Alligator mississippiensis: one gene and its partners. Each later gene encodes a partner of the first gene's protein in a complex. Links are inferred from orthologs where the notes say so. Each region holds a gene or a part of one and is shown in the gene's direction. Other genes may lie near its edges.

Region 1 (7,309 bases):
TGGGGTCCCAGGCTCCAAGTGTTCCCATGATGAGCATGTCAACCGTCATGTCGTAGGCGCAGCCCCTCAGGATGTCGGCCAGCGGGACGTACTTCTCCCACTTGTGAGCCCAGATGTCGGTGAAGGCTTGGTGCTAGTTCTTGAAGGGGAGGGTTACGTCCATGATCATGACCTTCTTGGTCTCTTTGTTGGTTATCACGATGTCAGGTTGCATCTGGCTCTCGCAGCCCGGGACAGTGCGGTTCACAGAGATCTCCCCTGCTGTGGCCAGGATGGCCCTCACCAGGCAGTCCTGGACAGCATTGTGGCGGAGCTGCCAGGCTCTGGCATGCGACCTGCAGCTGCACAGCACGTGGGGGAGGGTCTCTACCGAGTAGCCACACCGTCAGCACCTCTTGTCCCGGTGACTGAAGCAGACAGCCCCGTTCAGAGGCAGGCAGTTGAGGCAGGCGCGGTGGAGGAAGCACCAGTCTGCAAAGCGCGTGAAGCTCCCGCTGGGCATGAAGTGATTGCTAGAGTCCCACTTTGAGGTGACGTCAAAGACCTTGCCCTGGTCGGGTTTGGCCCTCTGGTCGCTGGTGTACTTGTTTCGGACGGCTTCCTTCAGGAACCGCTTCAGGAAGGTCCTTGTGCTGGGCGTCATGGTGACATGGTCGGTGTGCGGGGCTGATTGCAGGGAGACTCCCAGCTCCCAGCACTCCTTGGACCAGGTCCAGGACTACACTTGATTTGAGCCTTTACTAACAGGAGCACCAAGTCCAAGTCAGAGAAAGAATCATGTCCCAGGTGTAGCAGGCTTGTACAATGGTTCCAAGGCTCAGCCCCACACCTGCCTGCCTTGGCCTCTCTTTTGGTCTCTTGTCTGGTGGGGCTGGGCCTTATTTTACTAGAAAAACAAACTGGCTGAACTGAAGAAAAAATTATCTTGGTTAAAGGCTGCAGTCCCCTAATTTAGATGCACTTCAGCTGGTTTGACCACCCTTGGATGAGTGGTTGTTGCTATTCCTAATTGTTTGTATTGTGTTAGCCTAGAGGAATCCAAGTCAGAAACCAGTTTGTGGGCCTGTGCATAAAAACAGAACAAAACCAGTGGTCTCTGGATGTATACTGGGCACATCTACACCAGACACTAAATGTGCAGTAGTCTAATACTACTGCTCAGTAACATGTCAGGAAACATCATGCTAATATGCTACTGTGCAGTAGTGTTAGGCTACTGCTCAGTTAGCATCACTAAAAAGCTGTGCATCAGTGCTATTGCACAGTAGTGCCAGTTCCTGCTCATTGATTTAGTACTTGGTTATATAAGTATCAAACTTAATGCACAGTAACTATGGTGCATTAATGCACGTGCAGACACGGCCACTGATTGCTTGTATTTCTGATTTTTCAAGTGATGAAGTTGAGCCAGTGCTGTTTTCTACTACAGGCAGATCCTGACACTATAAGGACACTCACCAGATAACCACCCTTTCATAACCAACCTGTCTGTTCCCCGCACGCCAGCCCCATCTGTCACTGAAGCATCAGGCAGTCCTGAGCAGGGCACACCTGGCTTTGCAGAACTACTTTTCTAAACTGGACAGGCTTAAAGTGCATATACCAGATGTGGCTCAGCACACTAAACACAGTTTGCTTCTCCAGCTGAGACAGTTGCAAGGAGTGTAAAATGGTACTTGTGTCCTGATGGCTGTGCAAGTTAAAACACAGTCTCAAAGACAGAAACAGCCGGGGGGGGAAGAAAAGAAAAGCCTTATTTGATATAAAACAGTGGAATGGGTGCCTGTATTGCCCACTCTTGCAATTGTATTGTAAGTTGTGCAATACTTTAAAAAAAAGCGTCAGTTCCTGCAGACATGAGTGGCAGTCTGCATTTGTTTTTCAAGTAAGTTGCTAGAACATGTGGTTGCAGAGAGAAGCTGGAAAACACAAACCAACTGCTACCTAAAAGCTGATAAAAAAATCCCATATTTTTTTAAGCCAGTCTCATGATTATCTTTTTTTTTGGCTTTACACACAATGTTTGAACACTTGGAGTTGGCAGTGCTGAGATATTCTGGGCATGACACACTGAACACAGACCATAACACTAGGGATGTTTGGCTCTGAAACGAACTGAAACTATGGGCCTTGGGCAAGTCATGTGAATTTCTCTGCCCTGGGACTGGTCATTGTTAAGAGTGGGAGGGGAATGGAGAAATAAGAAAATGTTCTGGATTTTTTTCCCCTTCACCCTCCCCCTAACCCCCCATGTGTTGCCTTATGAAAGTCACTTCATGCTTGTAAAACACTATTATGATGAAGATATAGTTGCTTCAGGAATACCCATAGGGGAAGCTTCAGCAGCTTAGACCCAAACTGGTGTGCGTAGGTGGAAAAACACTCAGCTACTTCAAAACCAGGCCAGTTGAGTTCTCCCCACCCCCATTGTATTGGCTTTTCACTCTTTAAAGGATTTTGTCTAAACAAGTTGTGTGCTACATGGATCCCTGCGAAGTCATGCAGAAATACAATCCCACTGATAGGGAAATTATGATCTCTTGCCTACCAAACTGAGGGGACCCTCGTTAGACTGCAGGGTAAAATGCCTGTGGCCCCCACAGGCTTCAATTCAAAGGTCCAGCCATTCCAAAGTTCAAGCCATTCACCGACAGCTAGCAGCATCTCCAGGGGGTGCTCGTTGTCCCAGGGGGATGAGATGATTCCTATGTCCCTGGAGAAATTCCCCACCCACATCCAATCATTCTGATAAAGGAAATGGCTTGGGATGGGACCAAGAACTGGGAAGGAATGGAGAGTGGTCCAGGGTCACTCTTACCCTCTTTGTACCTGGGGGCGGGGAAGACACGCGTGAGCTGTGATTCCAGGAGCACAGAAATATTGCAGAAATCAAACTGGCTTTGCCCCTGCCAGGTTGTTCCCACCTAGGGAGAGTCTCAAAGCCACTTCCTCCCCCAAGTCCTTTCTCCCTGAGGGGAGGAAGACACATGTGACCACGATCCGTCTAGCCCCCAAACGCTGTTCCTTAGCTGGCTGGCAAAAGGTGCACTGGCATGGAGGGGTTCCTTCTTCCTCCCCCGCCACCCCCCAACACATGTTAAACTATGAAACGAATGAAACTAGTAAGTAGTCAGTTTTAAAGCTAACAAAAGTAAGTTCTTGTTCACACAGTGTGGAATTAAAGTGTGAAACTCATTGCTGCCAGACACTGAGAAAGCTGGCAGCTCCACTAGATTCAAAAAGGGATTGGACACATTCTTGGAGGAAAGGGGCATCGGGAGCTATTGAGCATGGGAGTTAGGGGTACGGAACTTCTTAGACCTTAATTCGTTTGTATCTTGTTGAAGGACTAATCAGTTCCAATTCAATTGTGCAAAGCCCAATAGTCAAGTTCCAACATTTGACTGAGCGGAGCTCAATCCATAAATCTGTGTGGCTCCTCCCTCCCAAACCCATCTGTCTGGGGCTTTGGACACTCCCCAAATCCAGAAAGGTATCCTACATGCAAGCCCCAGGCCCAAAAGCCTTGGGGTTTAGATGTCCTAGACCTTAAACACTGTCCCAGACCTAGCTGTCCTAGACTTTAAACTGATCGGGGGGTGGGGGGGAAGTGTCTGGCTTGATCTTAGCATTTAAGGTCTGGGATAGCGGTCCCCAAACTGTGGGTTGTGACCCCAAATGGGGTGGCAACATCAGTGGGGTGTCCACATCCGAGGATGGGGTTGCTGCGGGTTGGGAGTGAGAGGCCGTGCTGAGGAAATCGGGCTGTAAATGGGGTCATGCTCGGGAAAAGTTTGGAAGCTGCAAGCGAGATGTGCAGCAGGGGGGAGAAAACCTCAGACCCCTTTTCAGCACCCGCCGCGTGACACGGGGGCAAGACGGACCTGACCAAGTCAGTAGCGAGCCTTGCGTGGCCACCGAGAGAGCCCGTGGGGACTGACACCCACCACACAACAAGGAGGCGCCCACATGCAACCCCCAGCTCCCCTCGGGGCGCTTTCCTTGAACTCCTGACCTCCGCCTGCCTCCCCCCGCCCCGGGTCAACACGTAACTCGGGCTCCCGCGCCCGGGTCCCCCCAGAGAAGAGGAGCAGGGCAGGAGGAGGGGGTCAGAGCTTCCCTTCAGCCCGGGGCAGGGGTAAAGCAAAGCAACCCCCCTCCCTGCCCCTAGCACAGCAGCTCGGGCCACCTTAACAGGGGCTGTCCGGGAGAGGCCGGGCGGGCAGATGGGGCGGCGCCCCGCGCTGGAGCCAATGGCTCCGCGGCGCTGTTTAAATAGACTGGGAATGTCAATCATTTTCTTCTTCGTCAGCCTCCCTTCAATCGCCATATTGGGCAAGCGAGAAGAGGGCTCGTCTTTTTCTTGTTTTTTTCCGCCTTTCTTTTGCACCCCCCTCCTCCCCCCGCTACTACGCCGCGCCTGTGACACCGGCCGCCGCTCGCCGCGCGCCCGGAGCTGCCCGCCTTGCTCCGGGGGGCCCCGCCGCGCCCCCTCCCCGCCCGCGGGGCTGCTTATGCGATTGCTGGCCGGGGCCGCGAGCGCGCTGCGGGCCACTCAAAAGAAAAGGAAAAAGAAGAAAAAAAGGGGGGTGGGGGGGAGCGCGGCGCGGCCACCCCCAGCGGCAAGAGGGGGGCGGGGGGGACATGTCCGACGTGCGCATTTCTAATGGGAGCCCGACCCTGGAGCGGATGGAGGGGAGGCAGGCGGAGCACCCCAAGCCGTCCGCCTGCAGGAGCCTCTTCGGGCCGGTGGATCACGAGGAGCTGAGCAGGGACTTGCAGAAGCACCGGCAGGAGCTGGAGGAGGCCTGCCAGAGGAAGTGGAACTTCGACTTCCAGCTCCACCGGCCCCTGCGCGGCCGCTTCGAGTGGCGGGCGCTGGAGCCCGGCGCCTCGCCCGACTTCTACTCGCGGCCGACGCGGCTGCCCAAGGGCAAGGGCGCGGGGGACACTCGCTGCGCGCCGCGCGCCGCCTGCGCCGACCCGGCCGCCGGGCAGAGGAAGCGGCCGGCCCCCGACGGTAACGTACAACCTCCTCTTCTTGCCTTGCGCACCTGCCCCTGCCCTGCCGCGCGGGCTTTTGGTCTGCCCTGCCAGCGGCACCCGCCCCTGGATGCTGCCCTGCCCCGGCACCCGCTTGAGTGGTTATTCTTTGCGGCACGTCTGCCCCTGCCTCTAATGCACGGCAAAAGGCGCGGGGGCATTGGCCCTTCCACCTGGGTCCCCCCCCCCATGCTCCTCTGTCTGCCCTGCCTCGCTCTCCTTCAACACCCACTTTACTATTCTTTTTACATCCGCTTGACTTATTATTATTTTTGTCACATCTGGCCCTGCTGCAGGGCAAAAGGCTTGTCCCACCTGAGTCCCCCAACTGGATGCTCCTCCGTTTTCCCCCCACCCAGGCTGGGTGCTCCAGCTGGATGCCCCTCTGTCTGCCCCCCTCTCGCCCCCACCCACGCTGGATGCCCCTCCATCTGCCCCCCTCTTGTCCCCTCCCTCCCTCGGCTCTACTTCCAGGGATTCCTAATGCAACAGCCCCAGGATCACAGCATCCCTGGGCACCAAAATGGAGAGAAGTCTTTTTCGACCCAAACAGGAAACCTTGTATCTTGCTTGAATCAGAGAAAGGACTCAGCCCCTAAGCTTTTTAAATGTTTTTTCTCCTGCCATCCATCCAGTCTGGGGCTTGTCAAAGGGGGGTGGGGGGGGGTTGGTCTTTTCTCTGTACCCTGGGTCCTGTGAGTGCATATCTAGCAGGAAATGTATTTTAACACCAGGTTCCCCCCCCCTTTTTTGCCCCCCCCAGACTCCTCTCCTCAGAATAAAAGAGCCAACACAGCAGAAGAAGAAGTCTCAGAAGACTCCCACAGTGCCAGCACAGTGGAGCAAACGCCCAAGAAATCCAGCCCAAGACAACATCAAACGTGAACTGTGTAGGTGGGTTCCCACTAGGATGTTGGTGTCCCAAAGAAATAGCGGATCTGAACAGGCAGGGAAGTGTGGAGTCACTCCTGCCCGTGTGTGTGTGTGTGTGTGTGTGTGTGTGTGTGTGTGTGTTGCTCTTTGAAGGCATTTCCAAAGGGGGTTTGGATGAGGCTGGCCATATTAACTGCATTTTGTTTGTGCTCAACCTTGAGAGATTTTTTTTTGAGGGGGGGAGGTGTCTAAGCAAGTCCTGGCTGTAGGCTGTTTATCCACAAGAACCTGGCTGGGGTGGCTTGGGTCACTTGGCTAGAAGGTGCTGAGGCCTCCTCTCCCAATAAGATGCTGGCAAAATGAGTTTCAAAACAGGCTCGCTCCAAAAAAAAAAAAAAAAAGTCAAACGACAAGTATTTTTTCCCCTTTTTGTTTGCTGCTTGGGTTTTTTTCTTGTTTTTTAGCTGGTTGACAATGTTAGCATTGTCTCTGGCTCAGCAAACAAGCCAGGGTGAGATCTCTTAAGTCAGTAAGGAGTGGAGAAAAAGTAAGGGGAGCACTTGGATTGAAATTCAGGGTGGGCAGAACATGTCTTCTACTTACTATCATCATCATCATTGTTATCATTATGTGTATTATTTATTGTGTATTATTTTTGGTTATTATTTTTATGCTGCTTTTATTATTGTTGTGATGATGATGATGATTTTAATAGGATGGCACCCTTCTTACTATGGTCATCATCATCACTAGTGTTATTTGTGTGTGTATTATTTGATATTTATTATTTTTATACTTCTAATTTTGATGCTGATGATTTTGAATACGCTGGCACCGTAGTGAGTGTCCAGGGCACCGAGGGGGTTAATGAGTTTGTTTTTTTGAAGCAGCCAGGGGCTGGGACGGCTAGGGCTGGCGGTTTGAAGGGAATCGAGGTTTTTTGGTTTGTTTTTTTTAAGAAAAAGGGAGGTTTACAGACATGCTCGGTGCCGAGCAGATGAAGCTGGAAAGCAGAAGTGAGCACAAATGAGCCCCGCTGGGGTAAACGGGGCCAGGAACACGTCAGCATGATGTGTATGCAAATAGCACTACTACTGTCTGTTTATTTGGGTGAGGGAAGGGGAAGCGGAGCCGCGGCGAGCGGCCGCACCAAGGGGTTAAGTGTGGAGGGAAGAGGGCTCCTGCTTTTCTTCTCGTCTGTGTGCTCCCGCGCGCTCCCTCGGGGCGGGGAGCTTCGGGAGTCGCCGGCGCCCCGCGCACCGGCCGCGAAAACAGCTCCGGCTCCCCTTCCCCCTCCCGCAGCCGAGCGCCACAGACCTGGTGACTCGGTGTCCGAGCCCTGTTTACAGGCGCGGAGGGAACCACTCCCATTTCCGTGGGCCGGGGGAGGCGG
Region 2 (6,832 bases), on another chromosome or scaffold:
CTTAAAAGGATCCGTGTCCAATGGGGTTTTGCTAAAGGGTCCCAGAGCCGGGGCACGCTGCAGGGGCGACCCGACGAGTCCAGGATACAAAGATCTCGGGCACTATCGGGTTTATTGGTTACTGATCTGATCGTGACAGTCCCCAGCGCCCCTTCCCCACAACTCGCCTCCTGTTAATCATTACTGACGGGGAAAGTGTGGGGAGGCGGGGAGGGAGGGCAACGACTCCGAGGCTGTGAGTCAGCCCGGGGAAGGGACTGGCTGGCAGAAGGGCTTGGTTGCGGAGGGAGCTCATCGCTTGATGTCTCCGCGGCTGCTTCCGTCGGGGCGGGCAGCCGGAGCGCGTGTGTCCGGGGCTCTGCTGTCCCTCCCTGCGATAAGGCGGGCGGGCCGCGCGGTGATCTCCCCCCGTGTGCCGGGAAACACTGCCCCCGCCGTCCCCGATCTTCCTGCTAGGCCTCTTGCGCCTCGTGGGGGATTTGCCCCAAGAGCAATCATTCAACCCCTTGCAGGTTTCACCAGCCTGGGAGTTTTATTAAGATCCCCCACCCCAGCCCAGCTCTGTGCAGCGTGCTCTGAGCATGAGTGGGGACTGCCAGCAAGAACACCAGCAACACGTGCTTTGACTGTAGCCTGCGAGACAATGAATGGGGAAGGAAAGGGGGGGGAGGAGGGGGGGAGGAGGCGATGCATGGTTTAGGCAAACTGCAGCAATCGCCCTTGTGAAAGCGGAGCCTCTACGCGGAGGAAGAAGCTTTTTTTTTTTTTCAATGAGATGGAATCGGTTTAACAATGAAAAACATTGACTAGAGGAGGGGAGGGGAAAAGGAGGGAGAGGGAGGGGGGGGGGGGGAAGCCAGCAAGCCTTTAAAGTCGCCGATCAGGTATCTGGCTCAAGGTGAGATTCCACCTCCACATGTGGGAAGTGGTTTGTTTAATTTATGGCATTCTTACAAACAAAAGAAGGCCGGGTCCCTGCGCCTGGGACCGGGGCGAAAGTGCTCGCTGCGGAGCCGGCACAGCACCAGCCCGGAACATGTGGGGACCTGACTCCCATCTGGATGCTTTAGGAGGGGCATAAAAAAACAAACCCCAATACCTCCTACCTGAGCCCTCCTCCCGAGTCTTTCCTGCATGTGAACGATCAAGGGGGAGGCGAGGCTGCAGCCCCTTCCTTCGCTTTCCCTTCTCTGGGGGGCTTCAGAGCCTTGTTAAATGCCTCTGTATAACGTCCCCCCCCCCCCCAATAGAGCAGAGGTGCTGTATTAAACCTCTCACGTTCCCAGCTCGCGATTCTTGAGATGGACTTATTTTATTTTATTGTATTTTACTTTATTTTATTTGATTACGGATGTAACATAAAACAAACATTTCAAGTTCCCCTGGTTATTCTTGCAGATCCTTCCCGTGCCGGTGCAAGGCTCCCCGGTTATCAGTGGCAGCCAGAAAAGGCGACCCTTTTGTGCACGGACTCAGCCTCCAACCGGTGCGCCCTCTGCTTTCACGCTTTTCCCAGGCGCTTGCACTTTTGACCAGTCCCCTTTGTCTTGTCAGGGAGAAATCAACCAAGTTCCCGGTTCAGATCTGCCTGATCCGCCTGGTAACAGATCTATTCCCCTATTGGCTTATGCTAATTCCAGCTTCCTCTTGCATTGCGGCCCATTTTAAGAGGGGGGGGGGGTTCCCTCCAGGAATTAGACCAATTTTGTTTTAAGTGGGCGATCTAGTTCATGCAATATTGCCACACGCAGCAGAAGCCGGGCTGTGTGTGCAGCCGTCTCAGCTGGAGGGTGTTGTGGTGGAGGAGGTGGAAGGGGGGCTCCGGAAAAGCTGTACCACTCCGCCTCATAAATCAAGGGCTCTTGCCACACCGGCGGGGATTTTTATGAATGAAAAAACAACAGTGCTCGCCTGGTTTCAGAAAGCAAATGCATGGCGAGGGCAAGGGTTTCATAGAGCAAATAATGCTTTGGGGGAAGGGAAAGAGAGGGAAGGGTGGCTGGTCATCGGCTCCCATTATTATTATTTATTATGACCCACGAGCACATATTTGGGGACCAATGCTGCCCTCCTGGCAGAGCAGAACATGCCCCAGAACCAGAGGTGCGAGGCCCTTAGGGCATTGCACCAGTGCTTGAAACCTGCACATCTGGAAATGTCTTAGAGCTGGGGGAGGGAGGTAGAAACATGTAGAAACCCCTGACTTTGTCTATCTAGGTAGCCCGATTTGAAGAGAATGGAGGGCCTGCTTGTTGCAAGGAAGTGCAAACCTCTGAGACTTCCAGAATAAAAGTAATGTGTTTTATTTTTCTTGAATGCATGGAGTAAAGAACACTAATGCTTCCCCCTTTCATAACTCTTCTGGGCAAGTCTGGTTATGAGGCGCACACGTGGGGAAGACACAGGTAGCCTAGATCCTCCTTGGATCCTCTGAATGTCATCATCATGTAGATAAGATACAAGTAAAGGCAAGCGTCATGCGGAGAGCTCACAAAGAGACACTGTGTACATGTGGGAAGCTGCAGCTTTATGCCCTATGATCTGTACTAGTGCTCACTATACATCTTGAAGGGGAGACCCGGACCTAACACTCCAGCAAGCCACCTACAGCCACCATGCTCATCTATTTCAGCATACTGATGATGCTCTGAGGAGTGCTACGGCAGTTTGGGGTCTGAGGACCTATTATTTATTGTTACGTGCCCACATTAGGAGGTGGGAAACCTTTCCAGCAAAGGAAAGGTACATCTACAGATATATCTACAGTCTCCCCCCAAACAAGTGAAATTCTAGTTCCACTGAAGTCACTGTGAGTTTTGCCATGAGCTTTGCTGTTAAGAGCCCAAAAAACATGGAGTCCAAATGCTTGATCCCTTTTTTCCCCCAAAAAACATATCTAGGTTCAAAGGAAAGAAGATAAACAAGTGTTTCATTCCCCTGCCCCAAAATATATTAAAGATATAGACAGCCTCAATCTGCTGAGGAACTGACAACTTATTGCTGGAGCCACATCAACAAAAATTTAAGCTGTGGAAGGACGGACTCCCCCTCTCCGTGAGCTTGGGATCGGCCCCTGGGTAACTCCCTGGATCCTGGCACCTTCCCTTGGATTCCTCTTCTTTTAGGTGTTAACTGTGTGGGAGGAAATGCTGGCCACCATTTTGCTGCACTGCTGAGATTTTTTTTTCTGGGTGGTGGCGTGTAGCGGGGGCAGGGTGTGGAGCTTTGCTCTGCTGTTTGGTTAGGGTTAAATGGATTTCACCCTGTGTCCCCCAATCCTTTTGGCAGGGTAAAATCTAAAAGCCCCCCACCCCAAGGAAGGAGATCCTACATTCCTTTAACTTTCAAAGATATAATCTAAATCTAAACCAGGAAGGCAAAATGGAGAACAAGTCTGCCTTTGGATTATTAATGCTCCGCCTGTGCATATTCCAGGTTGGGAGTGCTTTTAAATAGGAGTTTCTTTGAAATATGACAAACGATGAAGAATAGCAACAACAACAACACTATGGTGCTGCCTCCCCTCTACCCCCCAATAAAACAATCTGAAGAGGGTCCCCCTGTGTCCATATCCGCGTGTGTCTGTGTGTGGCCTAGTCCCATTCATCATTTAGCTCCCACTGCCCAACTCTCTCCATTTTGAAAATTATGCATGATACACTGAAGAGACAATTTGGGTTTCCCCCACCTCTCCCCTGCCCTTGAAGAAAGCAAGCCCTTGTCTCATTTGCATTTGCATTAAACCCTGCTTCTGTATAAGCTAAGCAAAGGGGAAGGACTCCAAGCCTATGGGATGGCTTTAGGGCTCTGCCCCTTGCTTTTGGCTTCTCTCTCTCTCTCTCATTCTCTCCGCTGCTTTGATCTCTGCTTAACAACAGTCACGTCACAGGGACTAAACTATACAGGAGAGTTTTGTTGGAAGTTGGAAAGTTTTTCAGCCTCCAGAGGGCTGTAGCGGCAGTAGCAGCAAGCAGCATCCAAGGGACTCCTGGAAGGGGAAGAGAGAGAGAGAGAGAGGGACGAGCCTTGAGTCAGTCCTTTAGAAACCTGACTGTGGAAGAAGGAGGCAGACATGGAACATCAGCTGCTGTGCTGCGAGGTGGAAACCATCCGAAGAGCCTACCTAGACGCCAACCTACTGAATGACAGGGTCCTGCTGGCCATGCTGAAGGCGGAGGAGACCTGCACGCCCTCGGGCTTCTACTTCAAGTGCGTGCAAAAGGAGATCTTGCCCTACATGCGGAAAATAGTGGCCACTTGGATGCTGGAGGTGCGTATGTCCGGGGCATCGCTCCTGCCGGAGCCCGGAGGGGATGGACCCCGGGAGACCCCCGAAACCCTACAGCAGCGCCGGACATCCCGCGGCGGGGAGGGAGGGAGAGAGGGAAGGAGAGAGGGAGGCAGCAGCGTGCCCGGCTCCGGATCCAGCCGCACCATCAAGGCAGCGCGGCTCCCCCCCAAGCCTGCTGCATTGAAGGGGTCTTCATGCCCCCCCAGCTTGCAAATCCACCTCCTCCCCGCCTTCCCCCAAATAAAATCAGAATTAAAAAAAAAAAAAGTTTCCATCTCTGGCGTCCTGCCCCCCTCGCCCCCTCTTTAAGGGGGGGGGATTTTTTTTTTTTTAATTTTAAATGAATATCCCCGTACACGTATGCAGGCGCCGGCCGTGCCAGTATTCCGCGCCATCTTTGTTCTTTCCCTCGCTTTTTTTTTTTTTTTTTTTTTGGGGGGGGGGGGGTAATCAATGATACTGCAAAGCGGCCGGGGTCGGGGGCCGGGGTCGGGGGCCGGGCCCTGGCCCTTTGTTGGCGGCGGCGCGGGGCTGCAGGCGCGGTGCCCCCGCGAGGCGCGCTGCGGCCGGGGCGTCCGGCGCGGGGCAGGCGGCCCGCAGCCCCCTGGGGACGGGCGTGCGGGCGGGCGCCGCCGTGGGGCCCGGGCAGCGCGACCCCCGGAGCCCGGGCCACATTGTGGTGGCCGCCCCTCCGCGCTGGGCGCCCGCCGACTATTTTTAATTAATTTCTGAAGGCGGCCCGCGCGGTCCCTGCCGCCGCACGCGGCTGGCTGGCCGGGTGGAGGAGGGGAGCGGGGGGGACCCGGGGTTTTGCTTTCGGGGGACCGCCGTGCCGGCCTCCCCGCCCGGCTTGCCGAGCCGGCTGGGTCAAGCCGCCCCCGAGGGGCATTTTCAGGCCCTTGAGGAGGCTCGGGAGATTTTTTAAATATTTTTAAATATTTTTTGAAAAGATGACGTCTGGGGAAATGCGGCCGGCGGACGCCACCTTTGTGTCTGGAGTGCGGCTTCGCCCCCGGCGGCTGGCAGCGCTGCTGAGGGGATCCCACCCGGCTGGGATCCACCGGGTCCTGTGGATCCCCCACTCCATCGATCCAGGGGAATGACCCCCCCCTTTTTTTTTCTTTTAACCCCACATTTTTACGTAGCCTTCCCCCCATTCACTCAGTTTTGTTCCTCTCATCCTCCCCCTTCCCACATGGGTTTTATTCAGGGCATTTTCACATATCCCCTCCTCTCCCCAATATTCAGCCCTGCAGCCCGAGCGCAAAGGGGGAGGGAAGGGAGTGGGGCTTGACTCCCTATTGATGCCAGGCCTCCTTTCAACGACCTCTCTGGTTTGGCAGGTTTGTGAGGAGCAGAAATGCGAAGAGGAGGTGTTCCCCTTGGCTATGAATTACTTGGACAGGTTTTTGTCCTTCGAGCCCCTCAAGAAGAGCCGGTTGCAGCTGCTGGGAGCGACCTGCATGTTCGTGGCTTCGAAAATGAAGGAAACCATCCCGCTGACGGCAGAGAAGCTGTGCATTTACACCGACAACTCCATCAGGCCCGACGAATTACTGGTAATTTGGGGCTCACCTCCTCGGGAGACCCAAATCCAATCCCGCCCAATGCAGACAGACCACTGGAAGCAAGATCGGGAAAGGGGGGGAGGGACAAAAAAGGCTCCAGAGAAGAAATTGCGGCTGACTTCCTCACATCTGCCCATAGGACCTCTTGACTTTCTCACATCTGCCCATAGGGCCTCTGCATAATTGTGCACCATTCATTCAGGAGAATTAGCCTTCACTTCCCAGTAACTTCATTGTTGCACATGGCAGCAGCAAATGTAGCTTGCAGGGCTACCTCAAAAAAAAAAAAAAAAAAGTAGACCCCCCCAGAGGGAGAGTGGACCTCCTCCCCTCCCCTCTCCAGTAACGTGAGCCATGTGGGGGTCCTCTGCACCCCCTTCCTGTCGCTGGTTAGGACTGAGCCAGCTTAGTTTAATTTGAGCAAATCCCTAATATGTGAAATCCTTGCCTATTACCTCACTGAAAGTACAGTAGTGTAGGCAAAAAAATATGGGTGGCTGGCGCCCTCTTGCGTTTGGACCATATAGTTCACATGCTTCATTTCAGAGCAGCTGGGTGCTGGGGACGTGTGGGGGTGGAGGTGGAACGGACCTAAGCAGTTTCATACCTAAAGGTAGCCACATCTAGGCACCATCCTGCTTGTGAACGCTGCTGACAGCATGGGAGCAGCACTGGTTAGCACAAAGTATTTTCTCTATCAGTCTCCCAAGTAGCCAGTGCATCAAAGAGATGCCAGTGCATTAGGATTCCATAATCAGATAAGCACAATTCAAAGCTAGATACCATTTTAAGCTATTTATACATAGAGTTTCTAACCACATTTTCCTTCTTCTTCACTTCCCTTTCCCCCTTCCTCTTTGTTTTTGTAGCAAATGGAGCTGCTTCTGGTGAATAAGCTGAAATGGAATCTGGCTGCAGTGACCCCTCACGATTTCATTGAACATTTCCTTACTAAAATGCCTCTGACTGAGGA
Region 3 (6,751 bases), on another chromosome or scaffold:
GAGACACAGAGAGCATGTGCTAGGCGGCCACAGCACAAGTCATGTCCTGGGGAGGTGCCGGAGCAGCAATGCTCAGCCCCAAGTGACACAGTACAGGATGAGGAGCACAGTGGCCAAGTCATGCCCCAGAGCTGTTCACAGCACTGCAGAGACCTTGTGCGCCCCCTGAACCAGGGTGCTGGGGCACCGCCAACCACACAACAGCCCCAAAGAAGCAGGCAGAGGCTCGGATCCGGCGGAGAGGAGAGGAGAGGAGGGACCGGCGGGGACGTGGAAAGGAGCCCGGCTGGTTGCAGACCCACTCGCCTCACCAGAGAGAAAGGAGAGGAGTGAGAGAAGGCAGGCAACCCGTCACCAAAGCCAGGCACCCTCCACCGCAGCCCAGCCTGGCCGTCCTTACCACGTACTCCATCTCAGCTGCTGGGCTGGGCCCCACACAGGCTACAGGTACCAACAGCCCCTGTCCTCCTGGCGTCCCACCTGCATTCGGTGACAAACAGGGAATTAGCCAGCGCCGCCCTGTCCAAGGGGCCTGGCAGGCCTGGCACATCCCCTCTGCCCTTCTGCTCGCCTGGAGAAGGCCCTGCCTGACCTGCTTCCGCAGGCATTGCTCCTGCTGCCTGGCCAGGCCTGCCCTGCCTGGCCTCGGGTGACATGGCTGTCCTCTGCGACACAGGGGGAGCAGGGACCTCATTCAGATCCTGTGTGGGCAGGAGGCTGTGATGCATGAGGCCCGGGGCAGGTTGCACATGGGATAAGTCTCGGGATCTCCAGTGTGCCTTGAACGCCGTCCTGTGAGCCTGGCCCCATTGCTGGGAGTCACCAGGGTAGCAGCAGCCCTGCCTCCCCTGTCTGGTGCTCCAGCCCCGATGGCCTGGGGACTCCTTCCTGGTTCCTCAGGGCACGTGCCCAGCTCAGAAGCCAAGCTCAAGAGATGAGCTTTCAGTCCCCGGTGACCTCCTGGACTGTGGGGACCAGGACCTCCCAGGGCCCACCATCGCCCATCCTCCGGTGCCTCCCCAGGGAAGGCAGGAGCAGTGGTGGCTGAACCCCAAGACCCTGCTCCGTGAGTGGGATTCAGGGCAGCACCTGGAGTTGTGAGCTTGGGAGCCCCCACAGCCCCATGGACACTTGCCACCCCTCTGTTGCCAAAGCAGCATTCGAGGTCCTAACTCTGCTCAGGGCCAGGGCAGCTCCAGCAGCAAGGAGCTTGCCAGCTGGAGCCGGGGGCTGGCTGGACCCAGGGGAGGGAGGCCACGCAGGGGACAGCCACAGCTGTGTGGAACAAGGGCGGAGACAGCTCCTGCCCAAAGAACAAAGCAAGAGGAAGGGGCCCAGCTCCTTGCAGCCCCCCCGCCCTGCTCCCATCCCCTCTCCGGAGCCATCAGGCTTGGCACGGAGAACAACGCCAGCCCAGAGCGGGAAACAAACATGATTTACTTCCTCGTAGGACTGTGCCCTTATCTGGGGCCTGCAAAGCTGGAGTGACGTGATTCACCCAGAGGCAAGAGATAAAGAGCCTGTCTGGCCCTGGCCCCACAGACCTGCACAGGCAGGGCCTGGCCAGGCCCCATGGCAGCAAAGGAGCTGTGATAACATGACCTTTCCCTGCCCAGGCAGTAATCATGACAGGCTGGGCAAGCAGAACAACACCCTATCTCCTGGGCTGCCACCGAGACCAGTGCCCACACCCCACCGTGAAGACACCCCAAAACACAGACAGGCTCGTGCCCATGCCAGCTCCAGCTGGGCACCAGGGCCCTGAGCTAAGCGTGATGCCCGGTGGAGGTGGGAGCTGCTGTGCTCCTCACAGTGGTTGCATCACAAACCACCTGTGTGGCATGGGCACTGCAGCAGCCCTGACATGATCCCCTGCATGGCAGCCCCAGGTGCATACCATTCAGAGCACCTGGGAATCCCAGCCCCCCAAGGCCACCTGAGGAGCATAACAAATCCAAGGAGAAAGGCAGCGCTCGCTGTGCTCAGCCCAGCAGCCCAGCCCATTAGTGAGCTGTGGCAGCGTGGGGCCTGCGCGGGCAGAAGGGCTTGAGGGGTAGCCCGCAGGACCCTAGCACGTGCTGCGATCCACCTCCCCTGCCTCCCCACGGGCCCCTTGGTGCCTGGGCGTGGTTCCCGCTTGCTCTGCCAACTGCAGACCCTGCTGGGCATGGATGGCACCACCAGACTGCAGCAATGGCTGCCAGGTCAGGCAGAGTCGGCCAAGCAGTGTGGCTGGGGCTCACGCATCTGTTCCCCACAAGCCTGCGACGAGACCTGATGACCCCGGTCGCAAGCAGAGGACAGATTTGGGCTGGGCAGCCAGCAGGCAGCCCCCGCCCTGCAGCCATGCATCACAGATGCCTGCAGCTTCTCCATGGCAGCCTTGGGCCACAGCAGCCATGGTTATGCTATGCACTACCTCCTTGGCTGCATGCAGCTCCCCAGGCTAACAGCAGCCTCCTGAGCCCCTTCAAGCTGCCCAGAGCAATCCCAGAACCCCCACGCAGCTCGCTGCAGGGGCTGAGGCACCCCGAGCTTGGTGCTGCACTATCAGAGCCTTTCCTCCCTGCACATCCTGCCACCGCACCCCAGGGAGACTCTTAAAATACATGCGAGAGGAGGCTCCACAAAGCAAGCAGCTGGGTGCTAAATGCCCCTAGCAACGGTGCCCGCACCGTGGTGACTCATGACATGCGTGCCTGCCACAAGCGCTGGTGCCGAAGCTGCTGGTTATGCAGCACTGGGCTGAAGACAACCACAAGAGGCAGGAAGCTCCCAGGCAGGGCCACGGGCAGGGGCTGCGTGGGAAAGGGGCCCCACACCCACAGCCGGGCCTGAACATGGACTGGCTGCTACATCCCGCAGGAGGGGTAGCACATGCCCAAGGCGCACCACAGCTCCCCGACGCATAGGAGGTGGGAGCCGTGCATCTCCGGGTCACGCTCAGTGCCTCCCTGCCAGCCCAGCAGAACCGAGCACCTCCCATGCAGGTCTGGCAGCTCCCTGCCCGTGGAGGTGACGACCAGCATGTCTACTACAGGCACGAGAAGAGACCTTTATTATTTCCTGCTCCAGGTTCCTGTACCTTAAGCCCCAGAGGCAACAACAGCCAACTCAGCTGCTGACTGATGCAGGCAAGAGATGCCCCATGTTGCTGCAGCCTTTAGTCACAGCCCCCCACAGGCTTGCTCACGCCGCAGCCTGACAGAGATCTCTGGTACCCTGGCCCCCAGCATCGCACTGACAGAACCACGAGCAACTCAGGGACAAATGTGTCCTTCCTGGGCCACGGGCTGGAGACACCTGGGTCCCACACAACTCAGGGAGCAGCTACGGCCTAGGTGTGATTTGGTAGGACCGCTCACCCCCATGGAGGTGCAAGAACCTGCAGCACTGGGGCGAGAGCAAGCCCCCCCCAGCACTGCCCAGACCCCCTCCAGCTGGGGGGGGGGGCTGCTCCCCCAACCTGCCCCAGTGCTAAGGGGACAGCGGGAGGGAGCGGATGCGGCGCCTGCCAGAGCAGGCAGGAGAGCGCCTGGGGCTGGGGGAGGAGGCTGCTGGGAAACAACAGGAAATGGAGTCGCACCAGGAATGCTCCCAGCCGGGGGAGGGGGGGGGGGAGGTGAAGGCGCAGCCCAGGCCACCCCGGTCCTGCTTCCTGTCCCGCTGGAAAGGAGCTGGGGAAACTGCCAGAGGAAGCCGTGATCGGGACGAAGCCCGGCCAGGGAGGGAGGGAAGGACACCCCCACTGTCCCCGGCCTCCTCGCATCACCGATTACTCGGATGGGACTGTTTGACCACCCTTGTCCCTCCTGCACACACTCCCACTTGGGACCCCCGGGGCCAGAGCTGTCCTCGCGCCCGCTCACGGCCCCACACCTGGCTCAGCGGCACCAGCAGCTGGGAGGCGCTGGCCCTGCCTCCCCTTCCCGCCTGCCCCATGGCACCCGCCTGCGCCACCCGGGACGTCTCAGCACTGGACATGGATGGGCAGCCCTGAGCACTGTGCACCAGCTCCTGGTGTCTCCGTCTGTCCAGGGATGCCGGGAGCAGGCCTGGGGGGCGGTCGTGGGGGGGCAGGAAATTGGGGCATCCGGGCGAGTCCAAGGGCAAGCAAGCGCACGCAGGGGGAGAGGGGGCGGCCGAGGGAGACAGAGGGGCCCGGATGGGGCTGGCGGAGGAGCAGGTCTGAGCAGAAACGGGCCCGCGGGGAGGGGGCCAAGAGCCCACACGTGATGTGGGGGCAGGATGGGGGCATGGACAGGATACGGCCGGTAAGGGGGTCAGGGGACAGGGTCGGGGCCGGCCCGGGGTCGCGGAGAGGGAAGGGAGACCCCGGGGGAACCCGGCAGGATCCGGCCCGGGGGGGTGGTCATGGTAGGATTGAGCCCCAGGAGGTCTCAGCAGGAACGGGCCTGGGGGGATCTCGGGGGGCCCGGCAGGACGCGGGGCCCGGGCGGCGGCACTCACCGGGGCACCATGGGGCCTCGCGCCCGCTGCGCTCCCACGGCTCCGGCACCCACTTGCCCGGGCCCCGCCACCCACTTCCGGCCCCACTCCCGCAGCGCGGCCTCAACGACCCCGTCACGTGACGAGGGAGCCCCCACGGGCCACGGCCACCTGGACCAATGAGCGCCCTTGCAGGGGTGCCCGCCCCCCGTGCGCGGCGCTGGCCACTGAGCGAACCGAGGAAGTGAAGCCGGACCAATCACCTCCCGAGGAGCCCCGGGGGAGCGGGGCTTGCTCTGCTCGCGCCGCCCGGGCCAATGGGCGCGCGGGGCGGCGGCGTTTGAAAGCGGCGGTTGGGGGCGGGGCCCGCCTGCAACTGCCGGGCGCGCGAGGGCTGTCGGGAAGGGGGTGGACCCGCAGGCCAGCATGGCGCACAAGCAGATCTACTACTCGGATAAGTACGACGACGAGGAGTTCGAGTACCGGTGAGAGTGGGCGGCCGTCCCCTTCCCCCGCCGGGGTCTGCGCCCGTTGCCGGCGCGCGGGGATGACGCCATCACCCCCTTTCCTGGGCTCGCCGACCCCGTGACACCACCACCCCCTCTCCTGGGCTCTATCCCCCACCCCTATTCGGTGCCGGCGCGTGGTGATGGCGCCATCATTCCCTTTCCTGGTGTCTTTGATCCCTGCTCGGTGCCGGCGCATAGTGATGACGCCAACTGCTCCCCCCCTCCCGTGGTCTGCGACCCCTGCAAAGTTCTGGTGCGCGGTGATGACGCCTTCGGCCCCTCTCTTGGGGTCCGGGCCAGGTGCGGGCACGCCGTGATGACGCTGTGGCTCCCGTTGCAGGCACGTGATGCTGCCCAAGGACATCGCGAAGCTGGTGCCCCGGACGCACCTGATGTCGGAGTCAGAGTGGCGCAACCTGGGTGTGCAGCAGAGCCAGGGCTGGGTGCACTACATGATCCACGAGCCTGGTGAGCCACTGGGGTGGGCTGGGCCAGGTGCTCCATGTCCATTCGCCTGGCTCTGCCCATGGCTGGGCTCAGGCGTCTCCTCCCTGGGCAGGTGGGCAGATGCTGGGCAGCAAGAGGCTGCCCCGTGTGGTCTGCGAGTCATTTCCGCGCGGTCCTGATGCTGCTTCTCCCCGCAGAGCCGCATATCCTGCTGTTCCGCCGCCCGCTGCCGAAGAAGCCGGAGAAGTGATGCCTCTGCCCCAGTGCGCTGCCTCTCCCTTTGCCACGGCTCTTGCTGGAAAGCACCTTCCCTGCTCCTCTTCCCTGTCCTCAGTGTTTGGAGACATTGCTCAGAAACGCTGTCTGAGGCTGGTGTCCGCAGCCGAGGAAGTGCCAGCCTGACTGGCCTGACTAGCAGGGCTGGTGGAGGAGGACTTGGCTCCATGACACCTACGATTCCTGCCTGCCGAGGGGTGCAACTGTAGAGGACACCTGGTGACGGTGGGGGGGCACAGCTCTGCGCTGCTACCCCGGGCTCTGACTCAGGCTGGGGGTGCACCATGCCTGCTGTCAGCACAGACATGGCACTGCCACCCCTACCCCTGCCACCCTGGACCCTATCTTCAGCCAGGAGTGCAACCACTTGCCTATCATCAGTGCAGAGAGCTGGGGGGGGGGGAAATACGGCCTCTTGCCCCCTGCGGGCGTAGTGCTACCTCCAGCCAGGCTGGGAGCTGAACAGGACAAGCAGCCCAGTGCAGTGTCCCTGCCTGCCCCGTGGTGCCAGCGCAGGATCTGTGGTCACCCCGGCCGGAGCCCATCTCCAATAAAGCAGGTTGGATGTGGCAGTCTCGTCTGTGGGTTCCGTGGGCACGCCCCCCACCCGTGTCCAGCGTGGAGTAGGAGGCGCCGGGACCCTGCGGAAACCCTGTACCGGGGCGCTCTCCACGCCGGGCCGATCTATTCCTCCGGGGCGGGGGGGTGATTTCCCAGTTCGCTGGTTCAGCCTTCCGGGAGCGCAGTTCTCCGAGCGCGCCTTTGGCCAATCGAGGCCCTCCCCGTCCTCGAGTGGCATCTTCGTTGGCCAATAGCAGGGGAGGGGGCGGGGCGGCCTACGCCGGGGGCGGGGACGGGGGAGGTCCGGGGCGCAAGGCCGGACCGGACTGCTGGGATCTTTCTCGGCTCGGGGGAGGGCGGCTCTTGGGGCCCGGACGCTTGGTGCTCTCCTCGCTGCCCCCTCGAGGTGACCCCGCTAACTGGCTCCCGCCCGCGCCCGGCTAGGTGCCGGCGGCTGCTCGGGGCCGCGTCCATGCGCTGGGGCCTGCGCGTGGGCCGGGGCCTCCTGC

Evidence for each region.
Region 2: the proteins of CDKN1B (region 1) and CCND1 are in contact, whole or in part, in a crystal structure (PDB 6P8F), measured with the Homo sapiens proteins. The link is inferred for Alligator mississippiensis from reciprocal best matches to the Homo sapiens genes CDKN1B and CCND1. Residues at the interface, in NP_004055.1 of Homo sapiens: Lys25, Pro26, Ser27, Ala28, Cys29, Arg30, Asn31, Leu32, Phe33, Pro35, Val36, His38, Glu39, Glu40, Leu41, Thr42, Asp44, Leu45, His48, Cys49, Met52; in NP_444284.1 of Homo sapiens: Met56, Ile59, Val60, Trp63, Glu66, Val67, Glu70, Glu92, Lys95, Lys96, Ser97, Arg98, Leu99, Gln100, Leu101, Ile126, Tyr127, Thr128, Asp129, Ser131, Arg133, Glu136, Gln139, Met140, Leu142, Leu143, Asn146, Lys147.
Region 3: the proteins of CDKN1B (region 1) and CKS1B are in contact, whole or in part, in a crystal structure (PDB 2AST), measured with the Homo sapiens proteins. The link is inferred for Alligator mississippiensis from reciprocal best matches to the Homo sapiens genes CDKN1B and CKS1B. Residues at the interface, in NP_004055.1 of Homo sapiens: Glu185, Gln186, Thr187, Pro188, Lys190; in NP_001817.1 of Homo sapiens: Tyr8, Ser9, Asp10, Lys11, Arg20, Glu40, Arg44, Gln49, Gln50, Ser51, Gln52, Trp54.

The regions. Positions count from the first base shown.
Region 1 is NC_081827.1:137,609,544-137,616,852, forward strand, and holds the start of CDKN1B (cyclin-dependent kinase inhibitor 1B), read left to right. Parts: upstream 1-4,293; 5' UTR 4,294-4,644; coding exon 4,645-5,020; intron 5,021-5,806; coding exon 5,807-5,928; 3' UTR 5,929-5,937; intron 5,938-7,309. UniProt on the Homo sapiens protein: Important regulator of cell cycle progression. Inhibits the kinase activity of CDK2 bound to cyclin A, but has little inhibitory activity on CDK2 bound to SPDYA. Involved in G1 arrest. Potent inhibitor of cyclin E- and cyclin A-CDK2 complexes.
Region 2 is NC_081825.1:215,198,903-215,205,734, forward strand, and holds the start of CCND1 (G1/S-specific cyclin-D1), read left to right. Parts: upstream 1-3,831; 5' UTR 3,832-4,072; coding exon 4,073-4,270; intron 4,271-5,634; coding exon 5,635-5,850; intron 5,851-6,728; coding exon 6,729-6,832. UniProt on the Homo sapiens protein: Regulatory component of the cyclin D1-CDK4 (DC) complex that phosphorylates and inhibits members of the retinoblastoma (RB) protein family including RB1 and regulates the cell-cycle during G(1)/S transition.
Region 3 is NC_081838.1:12,771,014-12,777,764, reverse strand, and holds CKS1B (cyclin-dependent kinases regulatory subunit 1), read left to right. Parts: upstream 1-4,668; 5' UTR 4,669-4,875; coding exon 4,876-4,934; intron 4,935-5,298; coding exon 5,299-5,426; intron 5,427-5,602; coding exon 5,603-5,655; 3' UTR 5,656-6,250; downstream 6,251-6,751. Other genes in the region: FLAD1 (FAD synthase), read left to right, coding at 6,715-6,751.